Linked DNA regions of Canis lupus familiaris. The main gene of each other region encodes a partner of the protein of the gene in region 7 in a complex. Links are inferred from orthologs where the notes say so. Each region holds a gene or a part of one and is shown on either strand. Other genes may lie near its edges. The genes, in order: TAF1A, POLR1B, UBTF, POLR1E, TAF1C, POLR1F and POLR1H.

The links.
Region 1: POLR1H (region 7) and TAF1A share a complex: the UniProt entries of both Homo sapiens proteins name them as parts of the pol I pre-initiation complex. The link is inferred for Canis lupus familiaris from reciprocal best matches to the Homo sapiens genes POLR1H and TAF1A.
Region 2: POLR1H (region 7) and POLR1B share a complex: the UniProt entries of both Homo sapiens proteins name them as parts of the pol I pre-initiation complex. The link is inferred for Canis lupus familiaris from reciprocal best matches to the Homo sapiens genes POLR1H and POLR1B.
Region 3: POLR1H (region 7) and UBTF share a complex: the UniProt entries of both Homo sapiens proteins name them as parts of the pol I pre-initiation complex. The link is inferred for Canis lupus familiaris from reciprocal best matches to the Homo sapiens genes POLR1H and UBTF.
Region 4: POLR1H (region 7) and POLR1E share a complex: the UniProt entries of both Homo sapiens proteins name them as parts of the RNA polymerase I (Pol I) complex. The link is inferred for Canis lupus familiaris from reciprocal best matches to the Homo sapiens genes POLR1H and POLR1E.
Region 5: POLR1H (region 7) and TAF1C share a complex: the UniProt entries of both Homo sapiens proteins name them as parts of the pol I pre-initiation complex. The link is inferred for Canis lupus familiaris from reciprocal best matches to the Homo sapiens genes POLR1H and TAF1C.
Region 6: POLR1H (region 7) and POLR1F share a complex: the UniProt entries of both Homo sapiens proteins name them as parts of the RNA polymerase I (Pol I) complex. The link is inferred for Canis lupus familiaris from reciprocal best matches to the Homo sapiens genes POLR1H and POLR1F.

What each region holds. Positions count from the first base shown.
Region 1 is NC_049259.1:17,551,005-17,555,422, reverse strand, and holds the start of TAF1A (TATA box-binding protein-associated factor RNA polymerase I subunit A), read left to right. Parts: upstream 1-1,601; 5' UTR 1,602-1,750; exon of another isoform or gene 1,751-1,815; intron 1,816-1,917; exon of another isoform or gene 1,918-1,925; intron 1,926-2,024; exon of another isoform or gene 2,025-2,028; intron 2,029-2,089; exon of another isoform or gene 2,090-2,220; intron 2,221-3,209; 5' UTR 3,210-3,266; coding exon 3,267-3,387; intron 3,388-4,418. UniProt on the Homo sapiens protein: Component of the transcription factor SL1/TIF-IB complex, which is involved in the assembly of the PIC (pre-initiation complex) during RNA polymerase I-dependent transcription.
Region 2 is NC_049238.1:36,976,357-36,980,117, reverse strand, and holds part of POLR1B (DNA-directed RNA polymerase I subunit RPA2), read right to left. Parts: exon of another isoform or gene 3,307-3,761; intron 3,058-3,306; exon of another isoform or gene 2,867-3,057; coding exon 2,613-2,866; exon of another isoform or gene 1,811-2,612; coding exon 928-1,810; 3' UTR 1-927. UniProt on the Homo sapiens protein: Catalytic core component of RNA polymerase I (Pol I), a DNA-dependent RNA polymerase which synthesizes ribosomal RNA precursors using the four ribonucleoside triphosphates as substrates.
Region 3 is NC_049230.1:19,058,235-19,061,995, reverse strand, and holds part of UBTF (nucleolar transcription factor 1), read right to left. Parts: intron 1,621-3,761; coding exon 1,556-1,620; intron 1,270-1,555; coding exon 1,149-1,269; intron 789-1,148; coding exon 678-788; intron 340-677; coding exon 206-339; intron 45-205; coding exon 1-44. UniProt on the Homo sapiens protein: Recognizes the ribosomal RNA gene promoter and activates transcription mediated by RNA polymerase I (Pol I) through cooperative interactions with the transcription factor SL1/TIF-IB complex.
Region 4 is NC_049232.1:54,136,870-54,140,068, forward strand, and holds part of POLR1E (DNA-directed RNA polymerase I subunit RPA49), read left to right. Parts: intron 1-1,705; coding exon 1,706-1,839; intron 1,840-2,757; coding exon 2,758-2,839; intron 2,840-3,199. UniProt on the Homo sapiens protein: Component of RNA polymerase I (Pol I), a DNA-dependent RNA polymerase which synthesizes ribosomal RNA precursors using the four ribonucleoside triphosphates as substrates.
Region 5 is NC_049226.1:68,671,378-68,675,889, forward strand, and holds the start of TAF1C (TATA box-binding protein-associated factor, RNA polymerase I, subunit C), read left to right. Parts: upstream 1-1,691; 5' UTR 1,692-1,812; intron 1,813-3,806; 5' UTR 3,807-3,807; coding exon 3,808-3,933; intron 3,934-4,512. UniProt on the Homo sapiens protein: Component of the transcription factor SL1/TIF-IB complex, which is involved in the assembly of the PIC (pre-initiation complex) during RNA polymerase I-dependent transcription.
Region 6 is NC_049235.1:33,894,600-33,898,353, reverse strand, and holds the end of POLR1F (DNA-directed RNA polymerase I subunit RPA43), read left to right. Parts: intron 1-1,102; coding exon 1,103-1,311; intron 1,312-2,442; coding exon 2,443-2,875; 3' UTR 2,876-3,168; downstream 3,169-3,754. UniProt on the Homo sapiens protein: Component of RNA polymerase I (Pol I), a DNA-dependent RNA polymerase which synthesizes ribosomal RNA precursors using the four ribonucleoside triphosphates as substrates.
Region 7 is NC_049256.1:27,778,057-27,782,436, forward strand, and holds the start of POLR1H (DNA-directed RNA polymerase I subunit RPA12), read left to right. Parts: upstream 1-1,464; 5' UTR 1,465-1,510; coding exon 1,511-1,901; intron 1,902-1,985; coding exon 1,986-2,086; intron 2,087-2,384; coding exon 2,385-2,494; intron 2,495-3,548; coding exon 3,549-3,573; 3' UTR 3,574-3,617; intron 3,618-4,187; 3' UTR 4,188-4,380. UniProt on the Homo sapiens protein: Core component of RNA polymerase I (Pol I), a DNA-dependent RNA polymerase which synthesizes ribosomal RNA precursors using the four ribonucleoside triphosphates as substrates. Can mediate Pol I proofreading of the nascent RNA transcript.

The DNA.
Region 1 (4,418 bases), on a different chromosome or scaffold from region 7:
TTATAGAGAGTTTATAGTTAGATAGTATCTTCCTCTATATTATTATGTAAGCTGCCTTTGTTTTATCTTTTCATTTTTGCTACTTTTTTATCTCGTCCATATTATCAGCTGTGATCTAGTATAGACTGTTTATGATGATGTCTTTCCAACTGGTTGTCTAAAGCTTGTTCTTTATTAGACTGCGGGGAATAAAATAGAGTGTTTGTGGCAATCACTGAAGGGTTTGTGGAAACAATATTTTCTAAATAAGTTTGCAGTTTTTCAAAGATGTTATTTTTAAAGATTTTATTATTTATTTGAGAGAGAGGAAGAGAAAGCACAAAGAGGAGGATAGCAGAGGGAGAAGCAGGCTCCCAGCCCAGCAGGAAGCCTGATGTGCGGCTCAATCCCAGGATCCTGGAATCCTGACCTGAGTGGAAGGCAAATACTTAACTGAGCCACCTGGGCTGCCCTTAAAAAAATGTTATTATTATATTAAGTTGTTCTTCAGCATAACACAATTGTAAAGACATCTTTATGCTTCTTAGAATATGTTTTCTTCTAGATTGGAGTCTAGAAACCTTCTGTATGCTTCATTTTGTTTTATATTTGCATTTTTGTCATCTTTTTTTTTTTTAAATCTTGTTTACACTATTGGATGAGTTGTTTTCATTTTACTGTCTTCATCTTTTTTGTTTTTTAAAGATTTTATTTATTCATGAGAGACAGAAAGAGAAAGAGAGAGAGGCAGAGATACAGGCAGAGGGAGAAGCAGGCTCCATGCAGGGAGCCCGATGTGGGACTCGATCCGGGGACCCCGGGGTCACACCCTGGGCCGAAGGCGGTGCTAAACCGCTGAGCCACCGGGGCTGCCCTGATCGTCTCACTTTTGACGCCTCCCTGCCTCTCTCCCGTATGTTCATCAACATTCTTCAGGAAAAATGACCCCAGACGTGTCCCCAGAGCCATCTCTGCCGAGAGGGCAAAAACACATTCTTGCCCAAAATTTGGGGACATATATAAATTCAAAGTTAAAACTTTAATCAAAGAGAAAAACAAGATTTCGAGGAAGCGGTTAAGAGGTTATGCAGATTAGGGGCTGCCTGGGAGGCTCAGCGGTTCGCCCCCGCCTTGGGCCTAGGGCGTGACCCCGGGGTCCCGGGATCGAGTCCCGCGTCGGGCTCCCTGCGTGGAGCCTGCTTCTCCCTCTGCCTCTCTGTGTCTCTCATGAATAGATAAACAAAATCTTTAAAAACAAAAAAACAAAACAAAAAAAAAAGAGGTTCTGCAGGTTTATCTCGGTCAGGACCCCGTCCCTTTCTCCGCCCCCCCCGCCCCCGCCCCCGCCCCCGCCCCAGGCCTCCTAACCCTTAGGCCGAGCAAAACTCTAAAGGCCCCGGTTCCGTGAATCACTCGGTGCGGTGCAATTCCGCTCCTCTGACTGCTCCCCTCGTCCATCATCCCGTCGTCCCGGTCTCCAGAGGCACTTAGAGTCCCGCATTCCCCCACCGGGACCCACCCCGAGGGAGGGCAGCGGCCCGCAGCCACTTCCGGGGTCGAGCCGCCGAAGGCGACGCCTCCGCCGCGGGAGGAGGGGTTAGGGGCGGGGCCGCGTCTGCGCACCGCCTGAGAGCGCAGGTGTGCGAGGGGGCGGCTTTGCGCATGCTCGCAGCGAGGCGTCTCTAACTCCGCTTCCGGTGGCGGTTGGCTCTCGCTGGGCCCCAGTCGCTGGGCTGCGTTAGAGCCGCGGAGAAGTGTGGGCGTCGGGCAGGTGAGTGCCGCTGCGTTTGTCCGTCCGTCCTCGCCGCCGTGCAGAGTAGCACCCGAAGGGCTGCGCTAGGATTCACCCTTGTTCTGCTGATGTTTTTTTTTCTTGATGTTCTGAAACCTTTATTGCTGAGAACGAGGCGGAAGGGGTGGAGAAGCTATGATGGTTACCGTGGCAACTGCGGGGGGCACCCACTTAGTTTTTGAGAATTTGGGAAGGGAGAGTTTCTTCTGTAAGGGCTCGTTAAAATACACGTGTTTCGGGTGTTATTTCAAACCCATGCTCCTAAACCGCAGAATTTGATTTTTTTTTTAAAGATTTTATTTATTTTTTTCACGAGAGACAGAGAAAGAGGCAGAGACACAGGCAGAGGGAGAAGCAGGCTCCATGCAGGGAGCCCGATGGGGGACTCCACCTGGGACCCAGGTCACGACCTTTGCAGAAGGCAGACGCTCAACCGCTGAGCCACCCAGGTGACCCTCAGTCCTGTCTTCCTACCCCCTCCTCTACATGGACCCAAGACTATTCATGCCAAGTAGTTTGATGCCAAGTTTGATGTCCTGGAATATTGTCTTCACTTTTCTTATGTTGGCTTAACTTAATTAAGCCCCTCAGTTTTTTTTCAATATGAACGTGGAAGAAAATAATCGTAGTTTCCTCTGGATTTTTATAGGAATTAACGAGATAATTTAAAAGCTTGGTGGTATAGATAGAGACAATACATATTAACCATTACTACTGTTATTGTGGTTGTGTGGTTTTATTATTATGTATCATTTTGCTGTTTCTTCCTCTAAGCTTGAGCTGTTATTTTTATGTGTGTATTTATTAAGGTGCACTATCTTATCTATCTTTGTTCTTGTAACATAGTAAAGATTAAAAAGTTTTTTTGAATGGATCATTTTTTTTGGCTGTTGCTGGCATAATTTTACTCCTTTCTTTAAAGGAGCTACCTGGGGATCCCTGGGTGGCGCAGCGGTTTGGCGCCTGCCTTTGGCCCAGGGCGTGATCCTGGAGACGCGGGATCGAATCCCACGTCGGGCTCCCAGTGCATGGAGCCTGCTTCTCCCTCTGCCTGTGTCTCTGCCTCTCTCTCTCTCACTGTGTGCCTATCATGAATAAATAAAAATTTAAAAAAAATAAATAAATAAAGGAGCTACCTGGGGGTGCCTGGGTGACTCAGTCCGTTAAGCATCTGCCTTCAGCTCAGATCGCAGGGTCCTGGGATCCAGCCCCTAGTGAGGCTCCCTGCTCAGTTGGGGGGGGGGGTCTGCTTCTCCCTCTGCCTCTTCCCCCTGCTTGTGCACTGGCTCTCTCTCTTTCTCTCTCCCTCCCTCCCAACCCCCCCCTTGCTCTCTCTCAAATAAATGAAATTTTTTTTTTTAAAGGAGTGACCTAGTAGATAATTTTGCTGATTGAGTGTTATTTATTAGATAAAAAGATGGCATTTTTTTCTGTTTAAGAATTCTGTGAAATAAGATACACAGAAAGGAACTGATAATCTCAATTTGGAGCAGGTATGAGTGATTTCAGTGAAGAATTGGTAAGGTCCAAGACAGAGGACGAGCAAGAGGAATCATGCATGTTCTCTGGTACAGGAATGTCCTTTCCTTGGCTCCAGAAGCATATAGAGACTGTGGGTAAGTAAAATCACATACAGCCATTTTAATTGTAATGCAGAGAGATGATAAAACTCTGGATACAAAGTGAATAACCAAACTGGTTTACTCAGTTTTCAGGATGGGACTATATAAGGGTTTTTGAGGCTGTAAGAAAAAAAAAATAGATCCTTTTTTCTATTTTTCCTTTGAACTAATAGCAGTCTGTATTATGGTAGGTACACTTTTTGTTTGTTTGTTTTCTCTAGCAATACTTACTAGGAACTGAGCAGATAGGTGTAAGTCCAGAATTTACATATTTAGAAATGTTTCATAAGTTATGGATAGCCTGTTAAACCCAAAATACATTATGTCTGCAATGAGAAAATAATTTCAGGTAATATTGACATTGTAGAGATTTAAAAAAAAATAGCCATAATAGGAAAACAGAATTGCCTAGCAATTGCTTATTTTTTATTCTAGTAGATATCTTTTGGGGTTTTGAAGGGTATGCCCCCTAGAATAAAAACTTCGAAGACAGAGGCCAATCTGGATTAAAACTGAATGTTGAGTACCTTAGAATAGTACTTGGCTCAAAATAGTGCTCAAAAAATATTTGTTGACTGACACATTTCCAGGTTTTTTCAGGGGCATTAGAGATAGGTTGATGGCACTTGTTCTTTATTGTACCTCATTCTGTGTCAAAATTTCTTTTCCTAGGCAATTATTTTTGAAAGTGTATTGGCAACAAATAGGATAATCTTTTGCTCATAAAGAATGAAGTGAGAGATATTAGTAGGGTAACTAGGCTAATTTGGAAGACAGAAGGAGAATTTTCCAAGGATGTAAGGACACTAGTCTAAAGTCCAATTTCCATTCTGAGTAGTGAAAACTTGAGGGGTAGATGGGAGCTTGGCCTGAGGTCAGTCCTCCTTTATGTGAATAAATGAGTTTTTTTTTTTTTTTAATTTTTATTTATTTATGATAGTCACACAGAGAGAGGGAGGCAGAGACACAGGCAGAGGGAGAAGCAGGCTCCATGCACCGGGAGCCCAATGTGGGATTCGATCCCG
Region 2 (3,761 bases), on a different chromosome or scaffold from region 7:
GAGGGAGAGATGAATAAAGATCTACACACACACACAAACAATGGACTATTATTCAGCCTTAAGAAAGAGTGAAATTCTACCATATGCAACAACATGGGAAGGACACTGTGCTAAGTGAAATAAGCCAGTCACAGAAGCACAAATACTGCATGATCTCATTTATATGGGATATCTAAAATAGTCAAACTCCTCGACTAGTATGATGACTAGCAGGAGCTGGTGGAGAGGAATGGGAGTTGCTGCTGGTAAAGTTCTAAGTTACAAGGTGAGTAAATGCTGCCTGTAGCTAACCATGCTCTATCGTACATCCAAACATTTGTTATGAAGGTAGATGGTCATATTCAGTGTTCTTACCAAACACACACACACAAAGGGCACAAGGAATCTTTTGGAGGTGATGTTTATTACCTTGATTGTGGTGATCATTTTTGATAAGTGTATGCGTATGCTCAAACCCATCAAATTGTATGTTAACTATATGCAGTTTTATGTAATAATTACACTTCGATAGAGCTACCTTCTGTTTTTATTTTAATGTGGATATAAGCAAATATAAAATTACATAAACGGCCTGCATTGTATTTGTATTGGATTGCTCTGTTCTAGACAGGGAAATGTTCGACACTCACTGCCCACTGAAAGTAGGATTCAAAGACCCTGGGGTTGGAAAGACTTCCCTATATATCCTTCTACTTACCAGTAGAATCATTTAAGATACTCATCGAATTTTTGAACAAGTGTACTGAAAATCAACTTTAGTAGTTACTCTTCTGGTCAGACTCAGAAATCTTGAATTCTTAGTTGCCAAGTCTTGGTGGGAAACATGCTTGAAAATAACTCCAGAGTAACCAAGTAATATCTTCACTGAGCTAAAGTCACATTTTGTTTTAATCTGACAGTTCTCCTAACCCAAAAGGCCACATCAAGTTAAACAACATCCAATTTCACTTTGATGTTCATAGCTGCCAGTTCAGCTACAAAATACCGGAAAACATAAGGCACAGAAACAGTGTCGATAGTATCACTGCGGTCACACAAAGTACAGTTGTATTTTCTGTTGCGCATGGCAGACCAAGAAGGAGGTGGCTTCTCCAACAGTGGAGAGAGTAAACTACCACACTTGACACAGACATGGGCTACCGATCGATCTGAACAGTTGAAGAGGCGGTCGTGAAGGAGAAATGATGTACCATGAGCTAAGAGAGCATCCCGCTCCATTTCCCCAAAACGGATTCCACCCTGTACGTTTCTTCCCCCAATGGGCTGGTTAGTGACTTTGTCTCTGGCTCCTGTGGTTCTAACTTGGAATTTGTCTGAGACCATGTGGCGTAAACGTTGATAATAAACCACACCTATGAAAATGTCTGCTTCCAGTTCTATCCCACTGATGCCACTATACAACCTCTCAGTGCCATAGAAGTTGTAGCCAGCAGCTTTTAACAGCTCACCAAAGTATTCTAAGGCCGAGTTCTCTTCTGAAAAGGTGAAGGGTGTAGCATCATGGCAGAGACCGTGCAAAGCAGCAGACTTCCCTGCCATACTTTCAATTAACATACCAATAGTCATGCGGGAGGGAAAACCATGAGGATTGAACAGAATGTCTGGGACCATCCCACTCTCAGTAAATGGCATGTCCTCAACTGGCCACAACCTGCTCAAGATGCCCTTTTGCCCATGACGGCTAGCAAATTTATCTCCAATGGTTGGGTTCCGAGGGACTCTCATCGTGATGCAAACACACTTGAATCTCCCATTGCCAGTGTCATTACTACACACTTTGATGTTATCCACAATGCAATTTTCTTTACTCCTGGGGGAAAAAAGGAGACAGAAGGTCAAACTATTATTTTTAAACTTACAAAGACACCTCAGTTTTACTGACATAAAGGATATTTGCAAAATTTATTTTTTCATTTATTCTCCAGTACAAATAGATTTGATATCCCTGAAAGTATTTATGAACAGGGCTACTGATTCGATTTGCTACAGAACTCTGCTCATCTGAAAGAATAGTCACAAGAGACTACCAAAACACCATAACAAAGACCTACTGCTAAAACCATTTAATAGATGTAAAATAAGCTAGACACTTTTTTTTTTTTTTTTACATTTTTAATTTTAACGAGAGGCACACTGAACTTGACATTTTTAGCTAGGGAAACCCAAAAAAACATTCATGAGAGAGATAGCAAGTTTGAATAACTCAGTTTTCAAAGAAGTCACAGATAACTTATCAAATCGTGTAACAGACTGACAAGAGAAATAGAAAAAGACAGACACAGAACTGTGTCTCATTTAAGAAATACCAATTCAGTTATGACTGAGTAACCGAGCTACCACTTATATTTTTTCCACAACTCTCCTGTTACAAGATAACTTTCACTGACCTTGGCAATTTCACTGAGAAAACCACCTTTAAAAAACAGCACTGGGGAGGGGGGTGGGTACACCTGGGTGGCTCAGAGGCTGGGTGCCTTTGGCTCTGGTCAAGTTCTGCATCGGGCTCCCTGCAGGGAGCCTGCTTTTCCCTCTGCTTATGTCTCTGTGTCTCTCATAAATAAATAAATAAAATCTTAAAAAAAAAATAACCAGCACTGGGTACCCAAACTTACTTATAGTACGTCACAAAGCTTTCCCCGGTGTTGAGGTTCAGGTAACTATAATATGGATCTCCATACTGCAGCCGTGCTCCAATAAATGGCAATCCATCATCATCTAACTTCTGCAAAATCCGTGGGTCCCCAGGCTTGACACCAAACACCAGACTATCATCTCCTTGTTTAATTTTTTCAGAGAGATCTATGAACTCGGACTTGTAGACACTTCCATGGGCAAAGCCTCGTTCCCAGGAGGCTTTATTCACAATCTACAAAGTCAAAGAATCATTAATTTAAGAGACTGAGGCCAAATGGGGATTTTCACAATAAAGATGGCTAGAATTAAAATACTTGGTTTAGGATAACTGGCATTCTAATTTAAAAACTCCAGGGATCCCTGGGTGGCTCAGCGGTTTAGCGCCTGCCTTCAGCCCAGGCCGAGGTCCTGCAGTCCCGGGATCGAGTCCCGCATTGGGCTCCCTGAGTGGAGCCTGCTTTTCCCTCTGCCTGTGTCTCGGCCTCTCTCTCTCTCTCATGAATAAATAAATAAAATCTTTAAAAAAAAATATAAAGACTCTAAATTTCAGGGGCACCTGGGTAGTTCAGTTGGTTAAGGATCTGCCTTCAGCTCAGGTCCTGATCCCAGGACCCTGGGATCGTGCCCCGCATTGGGCTCCTTGCCCAGCAGGAAGCCTGCCTCTCCCTCTCCTTTTGCCCCTCTCCCTTCCTTGCTTGTGTGCACACACTGTTTCTCAAATAAATAAAAAAATTTTTTTTGATGACAGAAGGATGTTTAAAGTTTGATTTCTTGATATTGTCATATGTGTAAAAATATATAATTTAAAGTCAGGGAAATAATCAGCTTGGTGTCGCCTCCTTCCACCCCTTCAGTACAGCTTTTCCAACTGGCCTCCATTTCAGCCATTCCCTTCAAAATCCTGGCATGTGGAGGACAGGGTCACTTCTTGGTAGCTTTTGCCTGGGCTGCCAAATCTGCCTCTTTGTGGGCAGCCAAGAATGTGGCTTGCTCCTTGTGGTAAGCTGCCAGCTCTTCTGAATGGAGGTCCTTCACCACACGAATGCCCAGGGAATGGGCAGAGCCAATGATGGAGTGAACCACAGAGGACAGAGTGAACCACATCCTGCAGGGCGAAGGCCTCATCC
Region 3 (3,761 bases), on a different chromosome or scaffold from region 7:
TCATGTTGGCCATCAGCTCTGCGCAGTACAGCGAGTAGCTGTTCCTATCAGAAACAGCAGGAAAGGAAGAGCAACCCCCCTTGAGTGACCAGGGCAGTCCAGGGCACCTGGCTTCAACTTCAGAACCTGGCCGAGATCCTTGGATGGCCCAGCTCCCTAGAAGCCCTCGTGCCCACTCACCCACCCACCCCAGGGCAGTGCTCACGGAGGTGGCTTGGTGGGTCGCCCATCAAACTTGTCCTTGAGCTGGCGTTCGGCCTTGGTGAGGGTGGACTTGGTGATGCCCTCCTCACTGATGTTCAGCTCGGGGTGCTTCTGGATATAGTCACGCATAATCTCCTGCAGAGTGAGGTGGGGGGATGGAGGGCAACGGGGTGTGGGGTTAGCGGGGGCTGGGGAGGGGGGAGAGCCGCTGGGGAGGGGAGGCAGGGAGCAAAGCTGGGGGGTGGCCGTGTGTCTGCTATGTCACACGAGACGTGGTGCCCTGCCCTGCCCTAGCCTGAGATCTCTTGGGGGGGTGGGTGGGGAAGGTAGGGGCAGAGGTGAGGGGCCCAGAAGGCCCCTCCCTCAATGAAGGGACAGGGAATGACTGCCTCCCGCAGAGTGCGGAGGCCACAGAGTCAGAGGGCAGAGGCTCTTGAAGAGCCGGATGGGGAGGAGCGCAGCGGAAGCCTAACCTCGTACTCCTTCCGCTGCTCCAGGGCCTTATGAATCCATTTCAGCCTCTTTTTGTCCGAGAGCTGAGACCACTGCTTCCCCAGGGAGTCCTTCACCTCCTTCGTAGTGGCCTGCAAACCAAAAGCCGTCAGACACACACAGGCAGCCAGGGGCAGGGGGAGGGGAGAAGGGGGAAGGGGGCACAGAGGCCCCCACCCCCTCAGGCCACAGGAGGTCACAGGAGTGTCCCCCACAGGCCAGGAGGGGAAAGTAGAGAGGCGGGAATCCCGCCTAGGTGCAAGGGGACAGGCTCACACACGCACGCACGCACACACTCGCACGCCAGCTGGCCCAGGCCCTGTCCATGCAGCCCACCCCTGGGGAGGGGCCTCCTCTCCTGCTCCCCTGCACCGTGCCCGGCCGACCTGGCGCGGCTCCCCCCTTGCCACCACCGTGCGCCCTCCATCCCTACCCCCTGGCCGGACACTCACATCTGGCCGCACTTTGAGATACACCTTCTTCTCGTGGGTGTACCACAGCTGCTGGGGGGTTTTGGGCTTCTCAGGGATGTCCGACTTCTTGGCATTCTGGATTAGGTCAGGGTGATCCTCCCTAGCCAGGGCATGGGGAGCAACAGTCAGCGGGTACAGGGGGATCCTGCCAGGGAGACCCCCAGCTAGCTGCCCCACCCACCAAGGCTCCTAGGCCTATCAACTGGGGCCTAGTGGGACAGTGGCTACCTGCCTGTCCCTGCCCTTGAGTGTGACCCACTAGGGTCTACACATGACCCATCCATCTTCCATGCCTCACAGATGGCAAGCTCGAGGCTCTGGTTGGTATCACCCTAACCTGCCACACCCAGTGCCCTGTGGCCCTCCTCTGGGCTCCACTGCCTTACCTGAACCGGGCCAGGTTTCGCTCGAACTCCTGTTTCTCTCTCTGGAAGTCCTGAATATATTTCATCTGGGGGAGGAGGGGATGGGGTCATCCACGACCCAAAGCCTGAGCTACAAAAGCCACTGAGTCCTCCTTGCTAGCTATTTTGCCTCCCAGTGGTGATGTGGATAGAAGGTGGCGTGAGCTGGCAGGAGATGGTGGCCTGCCTTCCAGTGGGCTGTGGGGGGGGGGGGGGGGGCGCTCAACCGTAGCCCCAACTGCTAGCTTAGAGCCACACAGTGGGAGCTACAGGGGCCTCCCAGAATACATCCTATGTCCTATTCCCTCCTGTCAAGAGAGGGAGAGTCCCAGGAGTGGGACCCAGCATTACCCAGTCACAGTGAGTAGTGACACAGCTGGGACTCCCCCTGACCTTACCTCCCCACCTTTCCCCAACACCGCAAAACTCTCCTCAATGCATTAGGAGGAGGTGTAGGCCTTGCCCCTATTATTCCCTCCTCTCAGGTCTGTGGCAGCTACTGTTGGTCTGTTGCCTCAAAGATGGTTCACAGGGCCGGGGGCAGGCTGAGTCTTGCTTTCAAGTAAGGCCCAAGGGTAGACTGTGTTGAAGGCACCCAGAGTGAATTCTTGCAACGTGAATGACATTCTCATAGATCTCTCAACTTGAATTTTCTTCCCGATCTGCTGAGTGGTCCCCCTGGAACCCTGACTATCCTTCATATGCCCTCCCCATCCCAAACCCCTTCCCATCACCTTCTTCCCTGCCTCTGATCCCTTCTCCAAGCTCCTGGCTGGCAGGCTCCTCGAGCTCCCCTTCCCCCACCCGACTGGTTCTCCTCTGCCTTGGCTTCTCTTCCTTCTCCTCCACCTCTTTCTATAGGGCTGGCCTCCCTTCCCGCCATCACCCGCCTACTTCCATTTTGTTCCTGCCTCTCCATTCCTCTCTTCTTTTCTTCCTTCCTTCATCTACCTCCTGTCCTCACTACTGCTCAACGTCCAGCTCTCCTTTCTCCCTTTTTCCCCCGGTTCACAAGAGTCAGCTGTGGAAGCATCCAGAGGCTCATGGCAACTGAGTCCAACCCCTGCCTTTCACAAGAGGCACCAGGCACAGGAGGAACCAGCTTCACCTTCCCCTGTGGTTCTTGTAGAAAATGGGGAGCAGAGCCCAGCCTACTCTGCCCTAATCTCAGCCCTCCTCACACAGAACAGCGGCTTTCAGAATAAGGCACAAGCAGACTGGGCTTATCCTCTGCACCTCAGATAAAGACCATGTCCAGAGAAATGAGGTAACTTACCAAAGGTCACACACAGAACAATTCAGTGGTAGTCAGGAGCAGAACCCCAAGTCTCGTGTCCCCCAGGCCAGCACTCTGTCCACTCTACCACATAGTTTCTTAACTCTCCCAGGTCCTCAGACCCTCTGCCTCTCCCTCCCTCTCCATGAGAGTCTGGGTGTTGTGTGTACAGTCAGCTCTGCAACATCCCCATCAGAGGGGCCAAAGAAAACTCTTAATTCCTACTCCTGCTTGGCCTGGACAGCAAGTGTAGACAGCTGGTTTCACCCAGCCAAGCTGGCTTCTTTTTGGATACAGAACCAAGGGCACGGGAGTCTGCAGCCAGAGTGCACAAACCAGGAAGACAGAGGGCTATGTATGGTGTGGCAGCCGGTGCCACGTCCTGAGACCTGGCCACATAAGGCTTTGTCTCTTCTTCCAGTAAATGTGCGTTCTTGTCTCTCCCACTGCCCCTCACCGACATCTCTCCCTGGCTCCACCTCACAGTCCAGCACCCTGGCTGTCCATCTCTCTCCTCTCCCCATCTCACTTGGGGCCCTGCTGCAGGCTCCTCCACTGCTTTGCTGCCCTCTGTGAGGGTCCACTTGACAGCACGAGGCCACAAGGGACAAGGTACAAATCCTTGGCTGAACGTGGAGGAAGGAAGCCCACTTAATATGTGTGGACATGGCGGTGAGAAGAGCACCCAAGTGCTGTTCTGCTGTTGCTAGTTGTGTGACCCAGGACGCGAGTCCCTCCTGGGCCCCAGTTCCTTGCCCACACAACCGGAATAACCCCTTCTCTGGGGGTTCCCTTTATGAGGATACTGCACGCACCAAGTGAGACCACAGTGAAAACTGTCCAAGGATGAGCTGCTGTGCCAGCCTAACAGTGAGAATGCGACCATAGAGGTAAAGCTGGATGAGGCAACAC
Region 4 (3,199 bases), on a different chromosome or scaffold from region 7:
ACGAGGTGGCCTCTGAGTGCTTGGAGCCCGTGGCTGAGCAGAGGGTGGTGAGGCCTTAAGGTTGGGCTTTGAACCGGAGCAGGCCTGTGTCCCCAGGGCTATGCTGATTGTGATCATCACCAGTGGGGCCCAGGCGCTAGCCCGCGAGTTGGTGCCAGTGCAAGTGATGGTTGATGCCGAGTGAGCTTTTATACGTGAAGTTAAATTTATGAGCGGTTTAGGCGATAAAGCATCCGACTCTTGATTTCGGCTCAGGTCATGATCTCAGAGTAGTGAGATCAAGCCCCAAGTTGGACTCCACACTCAGCAAGGGTTCTTCTCTTGTCTTATCTGTATCTGTCTCTCTCTCTCTGCTCTTCCATTCACGTGTGCTCTTTAAATCTTTTTTTAAAAAAGTTAAGTTTAGGGGATCCCTGGGTGGCTCAGTTGTTTAGCGCCTGCCTTCGGCCCAGGGCATGATCCTGGAGTCCTGGGATCGAGTCCCACATCGGGCTTCCTGCATGGAGCCTGCTTCTCGTTCTGCCTGTGTCTCTGCCTCTGTCTCTCTGTGTGTCTAATGAATAAATAAAATCTTTAAAAAAATTAAAAAGTTAAGTTTATATATTTAAATACTATATATTTTAAATAACTCAGATGATCTCCCCTGTACCTTTTGACCCTTAAACAGCTTCTCTTTGTTTTTTTTGTTTGTTTTAAGCAGCTTCTCTTTGATGATGACAGTGGAATTTTCTTGCTTTTGAGTTTTTTCTTTTAATAATTTCATCTTGAGAAAATAAAAAATTGAAAACCCTAGGTTGGTTCCCTGATTTTTGAAGGTGCTTTTGTTGTTCCAAAGATACATTTCCAGAAAAACTTATTACTGGTTCTTGGTTGTCGTAATGTAATCATGGCTCAGCAGCAGGTGAGGAATGAGCTCTGGGCCGAGAGTCTGGAGAACTGAGTTCCTGAGCTCTGCCTGAGGTACTGTGTGATCTTCCCTTCATTGAGGCTCAGTTTTCCTATCTGTAAAATGAGCCTGCTGCAAGATGATCTTGAAGAGCCTTTTTATTTCTGTGAGTCTGGGCCTCATGGTAGTAGAACAGTTCATAAAAGAATAACTGACATTGATGGAGCTTTTGTATGTGCCAGGTACTGTTTTAAATGCTTTAAATGAGACTTGCGTTACCTCATTTAATGCACAAAAAACCTCTAGAGGGAGGCCACTATCTTTGTCCTTAATTTTTAGGTGAAGATGTTGTACGGAGATGTACAGACACACTGAAACTTGCCCAGGCTACTAATTGGTAGAGAGGGGATTCAAACCCAGGCAATCTAACTGAAGGGCCTGTGCTCCAGACCACACATCAGGACGGGGCAGACAATGGCCTGTGTGCCAAGGTCAGGCTGCTGTCTATGAGTAAAGTCTTATTGGAACACAGCTATGGCGGTTCATTTGTTATTAATGGCTGTTTTTGCACTACACTGGCAGCTTTGAGTAGATTTAACAGAGATCCAATGGCCCACAGAGCCTAAAATATTTATTGTCTAGCCCTTTCCTGCCTTAGCACTAAACCATGCTCACTGTGTAATAAGGAGGATATTAGGATGGCTCTTCAACGGTTGAATGTGATCAGCTGTGGAGGATGCCCGCTGTTTTCATCATGAGCGTCAGTGGTTCCTGACAGGGTTGGTCTTACATATTCCTCCCTTGTCCCCCTTGTTTTAGCCACTGCTCCTTTGTCATAGAAGCATTGAAGTCTTTGCCATCAGATGAGAAGAGCCGAGACCGCCAGGCCCGATGCATATGGTTTCTGGACACGCTCATCAAATTTCGAGCACAGAAAGTGATTAAGCGGAAAAGTAAGTCCATGATAGACATTTTATTCTAGTCCTTTCCAGCCTGTTATTTGTTCAACCAGCTCTCGTGAGAGAAGAAAATGCGTGTGCTTGTCCAGATCTTTATCTCTGACTGTGTAACAGTGAGGTTCCTGTAGCTGCCAACACGGGTTGGAGGATTGGCCCAGCTCTTTACTCCTCTGAAAATGGGGACGGGCTTGGTGGTCCGATTGTTCAGAGCTAATATTCACTACTTCTCTTCTGCATTGGGCGAAGTATAGACTTCAGTCAAATCGAATGAAAATTTCAAGGGATGGTTGGACCAAACATCAGTCCCATGGGGAGAAAAATCGGCTTGGCTCACATGAAGGCTTGTGGCAGGTTTTTGTTGTGTCAGCTTATTCTTTCTGTGAAAGAAGAGAGTCCATTCCCCCTGGTAACCTGTGTCCTCTATAGTGAGGGCCACAGGTGAGAGCCTCCCACTCCTGTCTACCTGGAGCTAGAAACCCGCCTGTGGTTTTAGGCACAAGCTGGTGCCATCTTGTTGTTGCTAGAGCTCCCAAGAGTCTGTATGTTTTCAGTATTTACTTGGTTTATTTTCGCATTTCAGTCTCCTTTCCTTTCCCTCTCCCTGGGCTTTCACCACAAGCTGTATTGTATCTTATGAATCCTGTGTCTTTAGGCCTTAGTGGAGTCTGTTTTTCCTCCTGGTTACCACCCCATCACAAACATCTCTTGGGTGCATGGGGTCTGCAAGCCGGAGCACAGCTGAGCTCGTTTTCACTGGGAAGTGGCTGTTCTGTGTCGTGGGCCCCTGCTCCTCTTACCACATGGTTCTCTTCATCGCAGTGGCTCAGCTGTTGGCCTCTTTTCCCAGCTCAGGGGGGAGGTGTGTTCCCAGGGTTTGGAAACAAAACGATCCATCTCACCTTTGTGTCGCAGGTGCCCTGGGACCCGGAATCCCCCATGTCATCAACACCAAATTGCTGAAGCACTTCACCTGCTTGACCTACAACAACGGCAGGTCAGGGATCGACTTCGGGGTGTCGGCCTATAAAGGAGAAAGCAGGCGGGGGCAGGTGGCGAGGGTGGGACGAGAGCATGAACTGGCTTCCATGTCCACAGACACTGCTGACGGGGGCACTCACTGCCGCCTGCAGGGGCCTGGGGTCAAGTCAACTGAGGAAGCCCTATATATTATCTGCTCTGTCCCCCCTGGAGAGGTTCACTCTAGAGGTTTTAGGGAGTTCCTGCAACGGAGACTTATTTCAAGGAACCTTCCTAATATTCCATAGAATCAGTGTTCTATGGGAAGGCAGTGTCACAAAACAAGGCAGCCCAGTGTGATGAATTTGGAAAAGGAACCCTAAGCAGCACACCTGGC
Region 5 (4,512 bases), on a different chromosome or scaffold from region 7:
GCCTGCTTCTCCCTCTGCCTGTGTCTCTGCCTCCCTCTCTCTGTGTGTGACTATCATAAATAAATAAAAATTAAAAAAAAAAAAAGAATTCCTGCCCTCATAAAGTGCCATCTGCATTTTTTTAAAAGATTTTATTTATTATGAGATATACAAAGAGAGACAGAGACACAGGCAGAGGGAGAAGCAGGCGCCATACAGGGATCCCGACTTGGGACTCGATCCTGGGTCTCCAGGATCACGCCCTGGGCTGAAGGCGGTCCTAAACTGCTGAGCCCCCTGGGATGCCCATGCATTCTGTTTCTAAGACAGCTGAGAAGTCATGCAGCCTAACCTAGAGTTGAAATTTCAAAGTGATAAAGCATCACATTTTCTTTTTTAAAAAAATGCTGCTTTAATGCTGTACACCATAGGTACAGAAAATTGCACAGATCATTTGATGAATTTTCACACTCTGAACGCATCCATGTAACTAGCACTGACATGAACATAGTATGGTCAGTTCCCAAAAGTCCTCCTTTTGTGTCCTTCCATCACTATTTCTTACTGAACCCACTTTTCTTAGTCTAATGGGAACTCTCTTCTGTGGGAACTCTGCTTTTTGTTCAGCACACAATTCTGGCAATACTCCACAGTGTGGAAGAAAGAAAATGTGGAAGGACAACTGTCTTATCTCAAGCACCTCTCAGATAAAACTGTATAGATGGAAGCTGAGAATTTGGAAATGGATTTTTAAAAAACAATTGCCTCAAAGCATGGTGCCTGGACCAGCAAGTAGCATCAGTATCACCTGGGAACTCATTGGAAATGCCAAATTCTTGAGTCACATCCCAGACCTCCTGAACTGGAAACTCTGGGAGTGAGGCCCAGCAAACTGGTGTAACAAGCCCTCCAGATTCTGTTGTACGCTCAACTTTGAGAGGTATTGGGTTAAGATAATGGTAAGATTTATGATTGCACAGTGGTTCTTAAAGTGTGCGCCCCAGGAGGCACAATCAGTATCACCTGGGAATTTAGATCAAATTATCAGGTCCCACCGCACCTAAAACCTATGTTACACCCTGTTCAGGTGATGCGATGCAAGCTAGAATTTGAGAAGCAATGCCTAGAGCTGTACTTGCTTGACCACTGGGAGGGCCTCATGCACTCTACGGATGCTGGTAACCCTAGTTGTAAAGACTGGTTCATAGGGTATGAGGACAATTAACTGGATTTCTACTCACTAATACAGTGTCTGGCTCATATTGGTGCTCAGTGCGTGTTTGTGGAATAAATTCAGTTAATACTTTTGTTACAAGGGATGCTTGGGTGGCTCCGTGGTTGAGCGTCTGCCTTGGGCTCAGGTCCTCGTCCTGGGGGGTCCTGGGATGGAGTCCCGCATCGGCCTCCCCGCAGGGAGCCTGCTTCCCCCTCTGCCTATGTCTCTGCCTCTCTGTGTGTGTCTCTCATGAGAAAATAGATTAAAAAAAATTTTTTTTAAGCGCTCAATAAGAAGCCTGTGATCTAGGAAGTTAGACAGAGATGGGATTCGAACCCGCGTCAAACTGGCCTTCACTATGGGCCCTTGAGACTGTATACTTCACCGACCAGGGCGCCGCCTCCACGCCCATTCCCCCTCCACCCGGGCGGTGGCGCTCTAGGGAGCCCGAGGAGGCCGGGCTGGGAGGCGGGACTTCCTGCCTTGGAGGGAGCACTTCCGGCACGGCCCGGAAGACCGTTAATTGCGGCGGAGGCGCCGTCCCATCGCGGGCTCCTTCGCGGCTCGCGGGCGCGGCGAGGTGCAGGTCCCCGAGGAGCGCAGCGGGCCCGGGCCACGTAAGAGCGCGCGCCGCCGGGACGGCGGGGGGGTCTCCGGGCTGGGCCTGCGCGCGCGTCCGCGGCCCCCACGCTGTGCGACTGGGTGGTCGGCTCCCCTCCCCCGGGGCGGGGCCGCGCAGGGGCGGAGCGTGGCCGCAGCGGTCGGCGCGGAGGCCAAGCCCGGAGACCCCCCCCCCACCCCGCCCCGCCGCCGTCCGTGGTCCCGGGTCCCGGGTCCCGGGTCCCGGGGGCGCTCGCTGCTGCGCCTGTTCCCTCGCTGTCTGCGGGCCGCGGGAGCACAGAGCGAGGCCCCGCGGCGGCCCCGGAGCAGGTCCCAGCACGAGGGTGTCGGCCTCGCCGGCCCTGGCACACGTGGCAGCGCGGGCCCTGGGCGAGGGTGCGGGTGCTGGGCCGAGGCTTGCTGCCCGCCGAGCGGGGGGAGGGCGCTGGCTTCCTCGAGGCGGGGAGCGCAGCCGGGGGGCGGGAGGGACGCGGCCTCCGCCGCGAGGGTGGCGCTCGGCCCTGCCCACCGGCCGGCGTCTTGCCCGAGGCTCCTCCGAGCGCTCCCCTGATGCGTGCTGCCGCCCTCTGCTGCTCTGCCGGAGCACGGCGCGTGAGGGCGGGAGCGCGGCACCACCAACTCCGAAAGCCGTCGGCTGCGACCGTGCCCCGGGAGGAGAGCCCCGAGTCTGCGAGCAGAGCGGAGGGCAGGCCCGCCCGCCAGGCCAGGCCAGGCCGAGACCGCGCGACGGGGAGGCTGCCGCGCCGGGCCGCGCGCGCTTGCTCGTCCGTTTGGGGAGGGTTCAGCAGCCCTGACGGCGTGGCGGGCGCTCTGGACCAGCGAAGAGCGCGGGGGAAGATTTTTGTGGACCGAGACGAAAGCTCGTGTCTGCTGTGGATGCGGGAGGGCAGACGGGTTCAGCACTTGGACCGGGAATGGCACGGGGGCTCACGCTTGGTGGCCCTGGGGTGCTTGCTGTCTTGGCTGAGCCTCAGTCTCCTGAACCCCAAGATGGGGCACCAGGAGAATGGACATGTAGCCCGAGCCTGGCAGGTGCCTGTGTTCAGTAAAGCGAACTGTTATTCTTGTGGTTAATAAAACAAAAGGGAGGGCAGCCCGGGTGGCTCAGCGGTTTAGCGTCGCCTTCGGCCCAGGGCGTGACCCTGGAGACCCGGGACCAAGTCCCACGTCGGGCTCCCTGCGTGGGGCCTGCTTCTCCCTCTGCCTGTGTCTCTGCCTCCCTCTCTCTCTCTCTCTCTCTCTGTCTTTCATGAATAAATAAATCTTTAAAAAAAATAAAAGGGATGGTATGGCTGCTTATTTTTCTAGAGCAATTGGCGTTTGGCAAAACCCTTTGACATAAATTTATTTTTAAATTTTTTTCCCCTTTGACATAAACTTATTATTATTCAGCACAAGGTCAATTGTATTTTCTGCAAAGTACCGTACTTGACAGTGGGAAGACCTATGAATAAGATTCTGTCCTGGCTTTGGGGGAACTTGAGTTGGTCTTGGGAATGCAGCCTGGGGTGTAGGGTGCATAGTCTACAATGTGTGATTGTAGCACAGGAGAGCTAGGAAGCTGCCCCATTGCTGCCTGGCTGACTTCTTCCCCTCCCATTCTCCACCTTGTTCATTCTGTGGCCTCCTAGCTGTTTTTCACATACTTCCCTGCCCCAGGATTTTTGCACTTGCCATTCACTCTTCCAGGAACCCACCTCTCAGTCATCTGCATGGTTCTGTTCCTCATTGGGTTCAGGCTTCAAATGCTCCCTAATGAGCAAGGCTTTCCCTGGCTGCCATTGCCCATCACCATCCCGTGCCTCATGGACATTAATATAGCACTTGTTCATATCTGGTAGTAAGCTGCATATTTATTTGTTGCTTATTATCTACCTCCTGAAATGAAATATGCTCTTGTTAGGGTATTTGCCATTCTCCCAGGAACCCTGGAGGGCATGATCAGATTCTTGTCTCTACGAAGGCATGACGTGTGCTTCTTGTTTTCCAGGATGGATTTCCCTAGCTCTCTCCACCCCACACTGTTTATGACTGGTCCCCTTGGTCTGAGTAATGTCCCTGACATGTCCTTCATGTGTAGCTGGAGAGACGCACTGACCCTGCCCGAGAACTCTCAGGTGAGGACGGCACAGAGAGCCTTGGCAGGGCCCCTTCACCGGCCCTCCTCTCCAGCACTCACACCCATTATCAGGAGCCAGGGTGGGGTGACATAGGCACTATGCCAAGACATAGGTTGAGCCACTTGCATTTGCAGGGGATACCCTGCTCTCCGCAGAAAGTTTCCTGAGCACAGGAGCACCTCTCCTTCAGTCTTCCTTTCCTGCCTTTGCTCAGCAGATGCTCACTGATCAGCCCCTACAGTGTTCAGGGGGCCTTTTTAGGCCTGGGAATCCAGGGTGACTATGTCGGAGGCATCCCCTGCACTGTGGAACTTAGGGTTAGGTCCCATGAGACAAGTGACCAAAGGATAAAATCCTCACCCTGTGTGATAAGAGCTCTGCGTGAAACCCAGAGGATGCTCAAATAGCGCAATAGGCATGAAGCCGGGAGAGAAGGCAGGGTATGGGAGGGGAGGAGAGGCCTCCTGGGACAGGAAGGACAAGGTGCTTTCCCTGGAAGCCTAAACCATCTGGCTCCCACTTGGAGACAGGCTTGGGATTATGCCAGGGGTGAGGTGGGGTCCCCCGACAAGGAAG
Region 6 (3,754 bases), on a different chromosome or scaffold from region 7:
TAGGGTTTAGAATTAGTTTTTCCTGTTGTACATTCTAAAACCCAGGGAATGTAAGTACAACTTAATGACCTGTGTCCTGTGTTCCCTTTACTGTATCCTGTAGAATAATTGGGTACTGCTCTCAGAATTCTCTATTTTACCTATTCACCCCTCACCTTCCTTCCATCCTCCTGAATCCTGGCAACTATTGATCTTTTTACTGTCTGGTCTCTATGGTTTACCCTCTCCAGAATGTCATATAGTTGGAATCATATTGTATGTAGCCTTTCAGCTTGCCTTCTTTCACTTAGCAGTATGCATTTAAGGTTCCTCCATGTCTTTTCATGGCTTGATAGTTATTTTTTTATTGCTGATTAGTACTCATTGTATAGATGCAGTGCAGTTTGTCCATACCACCCAGAATGTACCATTGGGAACACCAGACTCCTAATAATGACAGCCAATGAATTTTTTGTGTATAAGGAGTTGCAACACTAACATGTATACAGTTTTGTTTAAAGTTTAAAATAAATGACTTAAACGTTTCAGATGTTAATTTATATACATTATATACATTGATTTGTAGGGAAAGAAAAGAAAACTAAGGCTTTTTTTTTTTTTTTGAAACTTTCATATTTTAAGCTTAAAATCATATAGCACATACTTTTTAAAGCTTCCCAAAATGCTTTGTGATTCAGTCAAAATAGCCATGCTCAAGATCTACATTTCACATTTAGGTTATATCAAAGAGTATTTTCTGCTTGGTTTCATTATGGTTATACTCTACTCACCAGGGAATCCTGTAGTAGGAGCAAAGGAGTTGTTTTTATTGGGGGGGGGGGGGGGGGGGGGAGTGAGAAGAATAGTTGTTTATCCAGTTAGGCAATTGATATGCAATTACTTAGTAAAGTTGAACTTTTCTCAAATCTCTACAGTGTTTTAAAATGATGGTTTAGTATAATATGTAAATTTCAATCAAAAAAATTTTTTCCATGTCAAATTATACCATATTTTGATGTTTTTTTTTTTTTTTGAAGATCAACTTGAGGCTTATAAAGTTTTATTTACCTTTTAACTCTGGATTTCTTGATGTTACAGTTTTTTTTTTTCTCTTTCTTCCCAGGGTATAGTTAATAAAGTGTCATCCAGCCACATTGGCTGTTTAGTACATGGGTGTTTCAATGCCTCCATTCCTAAACCTGAGCAGATGTCTACTGAGCAGTGGCAGATCCTGGAGATAAATGTAGGTGATGAACTAGAATTTGAAGTATTTCGTTTGGACTCAGATGCTGCTGGAGTATTCTGCATTCGGGGAAAGTTGAATATCACTAGGTCAGTTCCTAATCACATTATTTTAATTTTGATATTTAGTCATTTGTTTAATTCTCAATTTAGAGAACATAAGTCCCTCTTAAAAAAAAAAAAAAAATTATTAGGGTATTCATGCTTCCAAACCATAAAGTCAGTGCAAATAGGAATCTAAAGTGTTAAGACAATGCATTGAATATTCTAAATCTCTACACATCTAGCTAACTGTTCTGTATTTTACTAAAACTCAGTCTTACTGAGTATTTTCTAGTTAATTTTTAACTAAAATTAATTTTTCTAGTTAATTGTTAGCATTTTCACAGTTGAAACACAAATTTGATTATTGTTATTATGCCAGGTAGGTAAGTTCTGTATCTTTTGATATTGAAATTATTCTAAGAATTACTCTCATCTTGAGTTTGTTTCCATGGAAGCCAAGTTTAATGGAGTGTAGGGGGAAAGAAAAAGGCTTTGGGAATACTGCTGGTGTTAATTCCTTTTTTAGATTTTACCTTGATAATTAACAAGAGTATGGGTTACAGTTTTAGAGCAGTTGTGCAGTAGAACTTTCTGCAATGATAGAAACATGTGCAGCATCTGTGATATCGAAGTTATCTTGTTGAAATTATTTATATGTAGATATTATTACTGTATAGGACTTTGCAGTTCCAGAGTTCCACTGATAACTATTTTTATTTTAGTGTTAACTCATAGCTTTGAAGGTATTATTGCTTCAAGCAAGGGTAAGGGAAAAAAATGAAACAAGGATTGTGAGAGTAGAAGGAAACTCCATTAGTTTCATAGATAATGGAAGTATATATTTTATCACTCATCAGTTTAGCTAATAAGCCTGGGTATTGTGATGTTTATTGTCACCAATTTTTTCTGAACCAAACCAAAATTTAGAAGCTACATTTTGATAAAATTTATGTCATTTTTTTATGTGTGAAAACAGTGTGGAAGAAGTACTTTGGAAAAATTTTAACCTTTCCCAGACATTTTAATGGGTGAGAGATAACAGGATAGAATATTTCAAATTTATGCCATACTTCTGTATTTTGTACTGCTGTCATTTTTTTAGAAAAAAATTGGGATAGTCTTTCTCATTTTATTTTTTGTTTATTGCTCTGTAAATTTTTTCAACTGTCAATTTAGTTTACAAACCAAGTGCTCTGCAGTTCCTGAAGAAATAACAGTAACTAGCACTGAAGAAATTATTGAAAAACCTCTCAAGAAAAAAAAGAAGAAGAAAGACCCAGAGTCCTATGAAGTGGAGAGTGATAACAGAGAGCTAGCTGATGTTACAGATGCCACAATGAAGAAAGAGACAGACCCGCAGATTGATAATATGAATGGCCTATGGAAGGATGAGCCGAAGAAGAAGAAGAAGAAGAAGCAGCAGCAGCAGCAGCAGCAGCAGCAGCAGCAGCAGCAGCAAGATCAGGACCAGGATCCTGTTTTCCAAGGCAGTGACTCCAGTGGTTACCAGAGTGACCATAAAAAGAAAAAAAAGAAAAGAAAATACAGTGAGGAAGCTGAATTTACCCCACTTTTGGAACATTCACCTAAAAAGAAAAGGGGAAAGTAATTTTCTTTAGTGTATTTTAAATATTGTTTTTTAAAAATTAAGATACAACAGATGAATAAATGTCAAAATGGTAGGAGATGTTTGTGTATTCCAGTAGTCTACAAAACAGGAAAGATTTGATTAGAAGTTTTTGGTGCTTAAATTATTAAAGTGACGATTACTATGGGAAATACCAATATTATTAAACTGCCATTTTATTGTATACAAAATAAAAAAGAGCTGCTCTCTCGAGTCTTGCATTTTTCCCATTTTTACATTCTAAATAAAATTCTATACTCTGAAGACTGGCAAAAGGACTTTGTATTATAGTGTTATTCATATCATTGAAGAATGAGTTTGAGCTTCTGTTTGTTTTTTTAAATAGGTTTGCCCTGTAGTCATATTACCTGTGATTTTTAGATTTTGTTGGCTACTACAGTGTTTCTGTGGTTCAACTTAGAAGGGTTTGCCAAAGGAGTTCCATGCCACTATTGACTGTAGTAGGAAACATTGTTCACTATTCTTTCCTTCCAAATGCATGTTCTCTTTTTTTCTCTAAGAGGTTGATAGAGAAGGCTCTTCTCTTGTACTTGTCTGCTTTTGCTGTGTTTGGAGGAGCAGAGTCTAATTAAGACATGATAAACACCATTTGTCCCTAGTGGGGGAATTTCTCAACTCTATAATAATTAGGTTAAATACTAAAAACTGTGTAAGAAAATTTCACTGAGAAAACATGGACTATGTCTTTCTTAACTACTAGAAAACACTGAGTAATGAAATGGCAAGCTGGTTCAGGCTGATTATCAATGCATGGCCATGTTCATTGATGTAAGAGTACCTATGCATTACTGTGTGTAATACCTCTAAGGAAAAGACATATAATGGCAGACTAGGAAGATG
Region 7 (4,380 bases):
GAGCCTGGGACAGACAGTGTAAGTCCTCAATAATTGGCAATGGTCTCTCCTCCACAGATCAAGCCCAAGTCTCTGTAAAGTCTTTCCGGACTATTCTACGTAACAGTGATTTTCCCTTCTTCTGAACACAACGTTTTTTAAACATTATTCCTAAGTCACTTGAAAACCAGCCAGGGTTTCCATGGTGATACCTGTATCATTTGTAACACTTTCATGCTGAAATTTAGACTGTAAACGGGAGGTAATCTATAATTTAGATTGACAAATACGATGTGTCTCTGTTACTGGAATGAGCCTGGTATCAGTTATTGGATCTCACTGACTTCCTGCCTATGTTCCTATCTGTCCGTGGACACCTATTCTGATATTTAACAAAGGTAACCGTCCTATTACTTTTCAGAACACAACCCAGCACGGTTTGTGTTCAGCAACAGTTTCTGGAACTCATCTTCTGGTTCCCTTGTCGCTGGTATTCGAGCACCTTTCTCCTTTGCTCCTGAGGTGCCATGTCCACGTTTTTACTGAAACATCAGCGAGTCCTCCTGGAGGTGCAGACACCATAGTCCTAGGCCCTGTGTGGGTCTCTCGTGGCGGGTTCCACCGTGTCCTTCGTACCCCTTGAGGTCACAGCATCCTTTCCAACGGTGCCGCCCCAGCTCCACAGACACTTGGAAAGGCCCGGGCCTCACGACACCGGCCCATCGGGATCGCGCTGGACTCTGCGTGGAGCAGCACTGCACGGTCACGGAGTCGGGAGCAGAGTCAAAGAGGTTAACAGGCTAATTTTAACGTTCGCGGTCTAAACGGCAGACCGCCCCCTTCGAGCCGGACAGAACGACGTCCTGCGGGGACAGGCGGACGGGAGCCACGGGGGCAGCGGCTCAGAAACTCCTCGTGCCCCGCAGACGGTGGTTACTGGCGAGCGGCCGCAGCTCGGCTCCCTAGCGACCGTGAGCCTTACGCTCGGGAACGGCAACCGTGCTCGTCACTCCCCGGTGACCCGCTGGGCGCGGCGGAGGGGGACGGCCCCCAAGTCAGCCCCGGGCCTGGGCCGCCCGCCCCGCCCCGCCCCGCCCCCGGCCCTCGCCCTCATCTCCCTGGCCCGCCCGCTCCTAGAGCATGTCCTGGGCACGTCAGGCCGGCGGGGCGGAGCTGGGCCCACTGGCTCCGGGGCGGCGCGGCGGCGTTCGGGAAGCTCAGCAACATCTCCACAAGCAACGCTCCCGAGGTTGGGTCCCAGAAAATACGTATCCCCGGACTGCGCTTCTTCCTGATGGAGTGTCCGGAGGCGCAGCGGCCATTACCCGAGCTCCTATCCCGGCGTCGGCACCTCCGTCCGTCTCCCACGGCGCTCGACCCCCGCTCTGGGGCTCTCGGGGCGCCGGGCGCCGGATTGTGACGTCACGGCCAAAGGCGCCAGCGCCGCGCACAGCAGTCGGGGCGACGTATTGTGACGTCACAACCCCACAGAAGCCGGCGAGGCGGACAGCAGTCTGGGCGCCGGATTGTGATGTTACACCCAAGGGCGCCGGCGCGGCGGACTGCGGTCTGGGCGAGGGATTGTGACGTCACGACCAATGGGCGTCTGCGCGGCGGATGCTCTAGCCCGCTCCGCTCGGCGGGTGCTCTCACCTGCCCTGGAGGACCGCACTACGCCGGCCGGTCCTCCCGCGGAGCCTCGCGCGTCCAGGGAGGAGGGCTCGGTTCGCGGCCGCCGGGGTCCCTGGACGGAACCGGAGCTGCCCACCGTCGCACCCTCTGCGCCATGGACCCCGCGCCCTCCGGCTCCAGATTCCAGTCGGACCTGGACTTCTGTCCGGACTGCGGCTCCGTCCTGCCCCTGCCCGGGGCCCAGGACGCGGTCACCTGTGTGCGCTGTGGCTTCGGCGTCCCCGTGCGGGGTGAGGAGGGGGCGGGAGCGGCCGGGTTGCGGGGGGCGGCGGAGGGTCCGGGGGTGCCCGCAGCCAGCGCTTACCGCTCCGCAGACTTCGAGGGGAAGGTGGTGAGGACCCGCATCGTGTTCAACCAGGTGGGGACGGCGGTGCCCGCGCCGGTGCAGGAGGAGCCAGAGCTCCAGGGACCCGTGGTGAGTGAGTGACCCCAGCACTGACCCACAAGGAAGGCGGGGAGACATGCAGGGTTGAGTGCTGAGTCTGGGGTAACGGGTGTGCAGGAGGAGCCCGACCTCCAGCGACCCGTGGTGAGTGAGTGATGCCAACACTGATCCACAGGGAGAGCGGGAAGGGCTGCAGGGTTGAGTGCTGAGGTCTGGGGAAACAGAGGTCTTTGGAGCAGGGGTGCTGGGGAGAGCATGCAACGAGATTCCTGTAGGAAGCAGGGGTCATCCTGGCTTTCCCTGACCCCCCCCCCCCTTTGGTTGCCAGGTTGACAGGCGCTGCTCCCGATGTGGTCACGAGGGAATGGCCTACCACACCAGACAGATGCGCTCAGCTGACGAGGGGCAGACCGTCTTCTACACCTGCACCAGCTGCAGGTGTGCCCCCTCCCTGGCCCTCTGCCCTCTCCCTCTGGCCCTTAACCACACATGTCCTGTGACTTCCCTCTTGTACCCAAGAACCGGTTATTTCCTTTGGTCCTGTCCTCTTTTCAGGTAACAGGGACATTTGTGTTTTTTTTTTATTTTTGAAAAAGAACATTTTTGTTAGTTTTTTTTATAGCCAGTGAAGCGAAGCTTTTAAGCTGTTTAAAGGAGTGAGAACAGAGAGAAGGCAGGTATTTCTGGGTGGTCTGCGTGTTGAATCCTGCTGCTTGTTCCAGTGCTCTTGCTTTTATGAGAATCACCTGTGATTTCAGGAACCAGAGAGACCTGAACCATTTGAGAACTCCTTGTCTTCGGTGTTCTGTACTTTCACCACGCTTATCAAGACCTAGCTTTCAGGATCCCTGGGTGGTTCAGTGGTTTAGCACCTGCCTTCGGCCCACAGCATGATGATCCTGGAGTCCTGGGATCGAGTCCCGCATCAGGCTCCCTTCATGGAGCCTGCTTCTCCCTCTGCCTGTGTCTGTGCCTCTCTCTCTCTCTCTCTCTCTCTGTGTCTCTCATGAGTAAATAAATTTTTTTTTTTTTTAAGATTTTGTTTTTAAATAATCTCTATCCACTGTGGGGCTTGAACTCAACCCCAAGATAACAGTCGCAGGTTGTGCAGATTCATCCAGCCCGGTCATAGGGTAGCTCTATTTTTAACTTCTTGAGGAACCTCCACACTGTTTTCCAGAGTGGCTGCACCAGTTTGCATTCCCAGCAACAGTGCAAGAAGGTTCCCCACTTCTCCACATCCTTGCCAACATTTGTTGTTTCCTGACTTATTACTTTTAACCATTTTGATCTGTGTGAGATTTTATCTCATTGTCCTTTAGGTTTTTAGTCCAGGATTTTTAGTTGTCTTGAATTTGAAGGATTGTTTCGGGGAGCTAGTCATCTACAATGTCATAAATAAAACTCCCTCCTTAATTTTTCACGTGAATGTTTGTCTTATACTGCTAAAACCTCTGTGCCTAAATATAATGAGTCCTTTCTTTCTCCATAGGTTCCAGGAGAAGGAAGACTCTTGATTTTCTTTCTGGGCACCTTATCAGTTCTCCCTCTTCCTTGAAAGGTGAGGGATATTGGGTTCTTAGATGCTTTGTCTATCCTGGTTGCAGTGCTTTGCTCCCATAGACAGAGATTATCATGTGGGCATTACCATTGTCCCTACAGTACACCTACTGTAGTTGAGTTTCTTTATCAAGGTTACGTTTTTCTATATAAGCCAGACATACCTGTTATTTATAATGTCTTGTTCCAAAAGGAATTTAAATGGATTTACAGAGAATATATTCTTTCAGTAAGTATATCAGCTACAAAAAATATAGTATAAATTAGTGTATGAGAAGGAAAAGGGAAAAAGGAAACTACCAAAGACAAAAAATGGAGGCAGGAATGAGACTAATATAAAAAGTAATTATGGGCACCTGGGTGTCTCAGTGGATGAGTATCTGCCTTCACCTCAGGGTATGATCTCCCGGGTCTTGGGATTGAGTCCTACATCCAGCTCCCTATAGGGAGCCTGCTTCTGCCTATGTCTCTGCCTCTATTTCTGTCTCTCACATAAATAAATAAATCTTTTTTTTTTTTTTAAGTAATTACAAGTATTCCATGACTAAATGTATTTGGTTCCTGAGTTTAGGGAAACAAAGCAGGAGCCCAGATGCTGGGAGATAAGCAGATAACGTAACCAGATGTGTCTGACGTGTGAGCTGGAACAAGGAGAAGTCTGATACTAAGGTTTACCAGTATATGCTGAACACATTGGACATTTTGAAAATTGTATTTTTTTATTGCTGTTGACATAAATGTATATTCATTGTGATAAATTCATA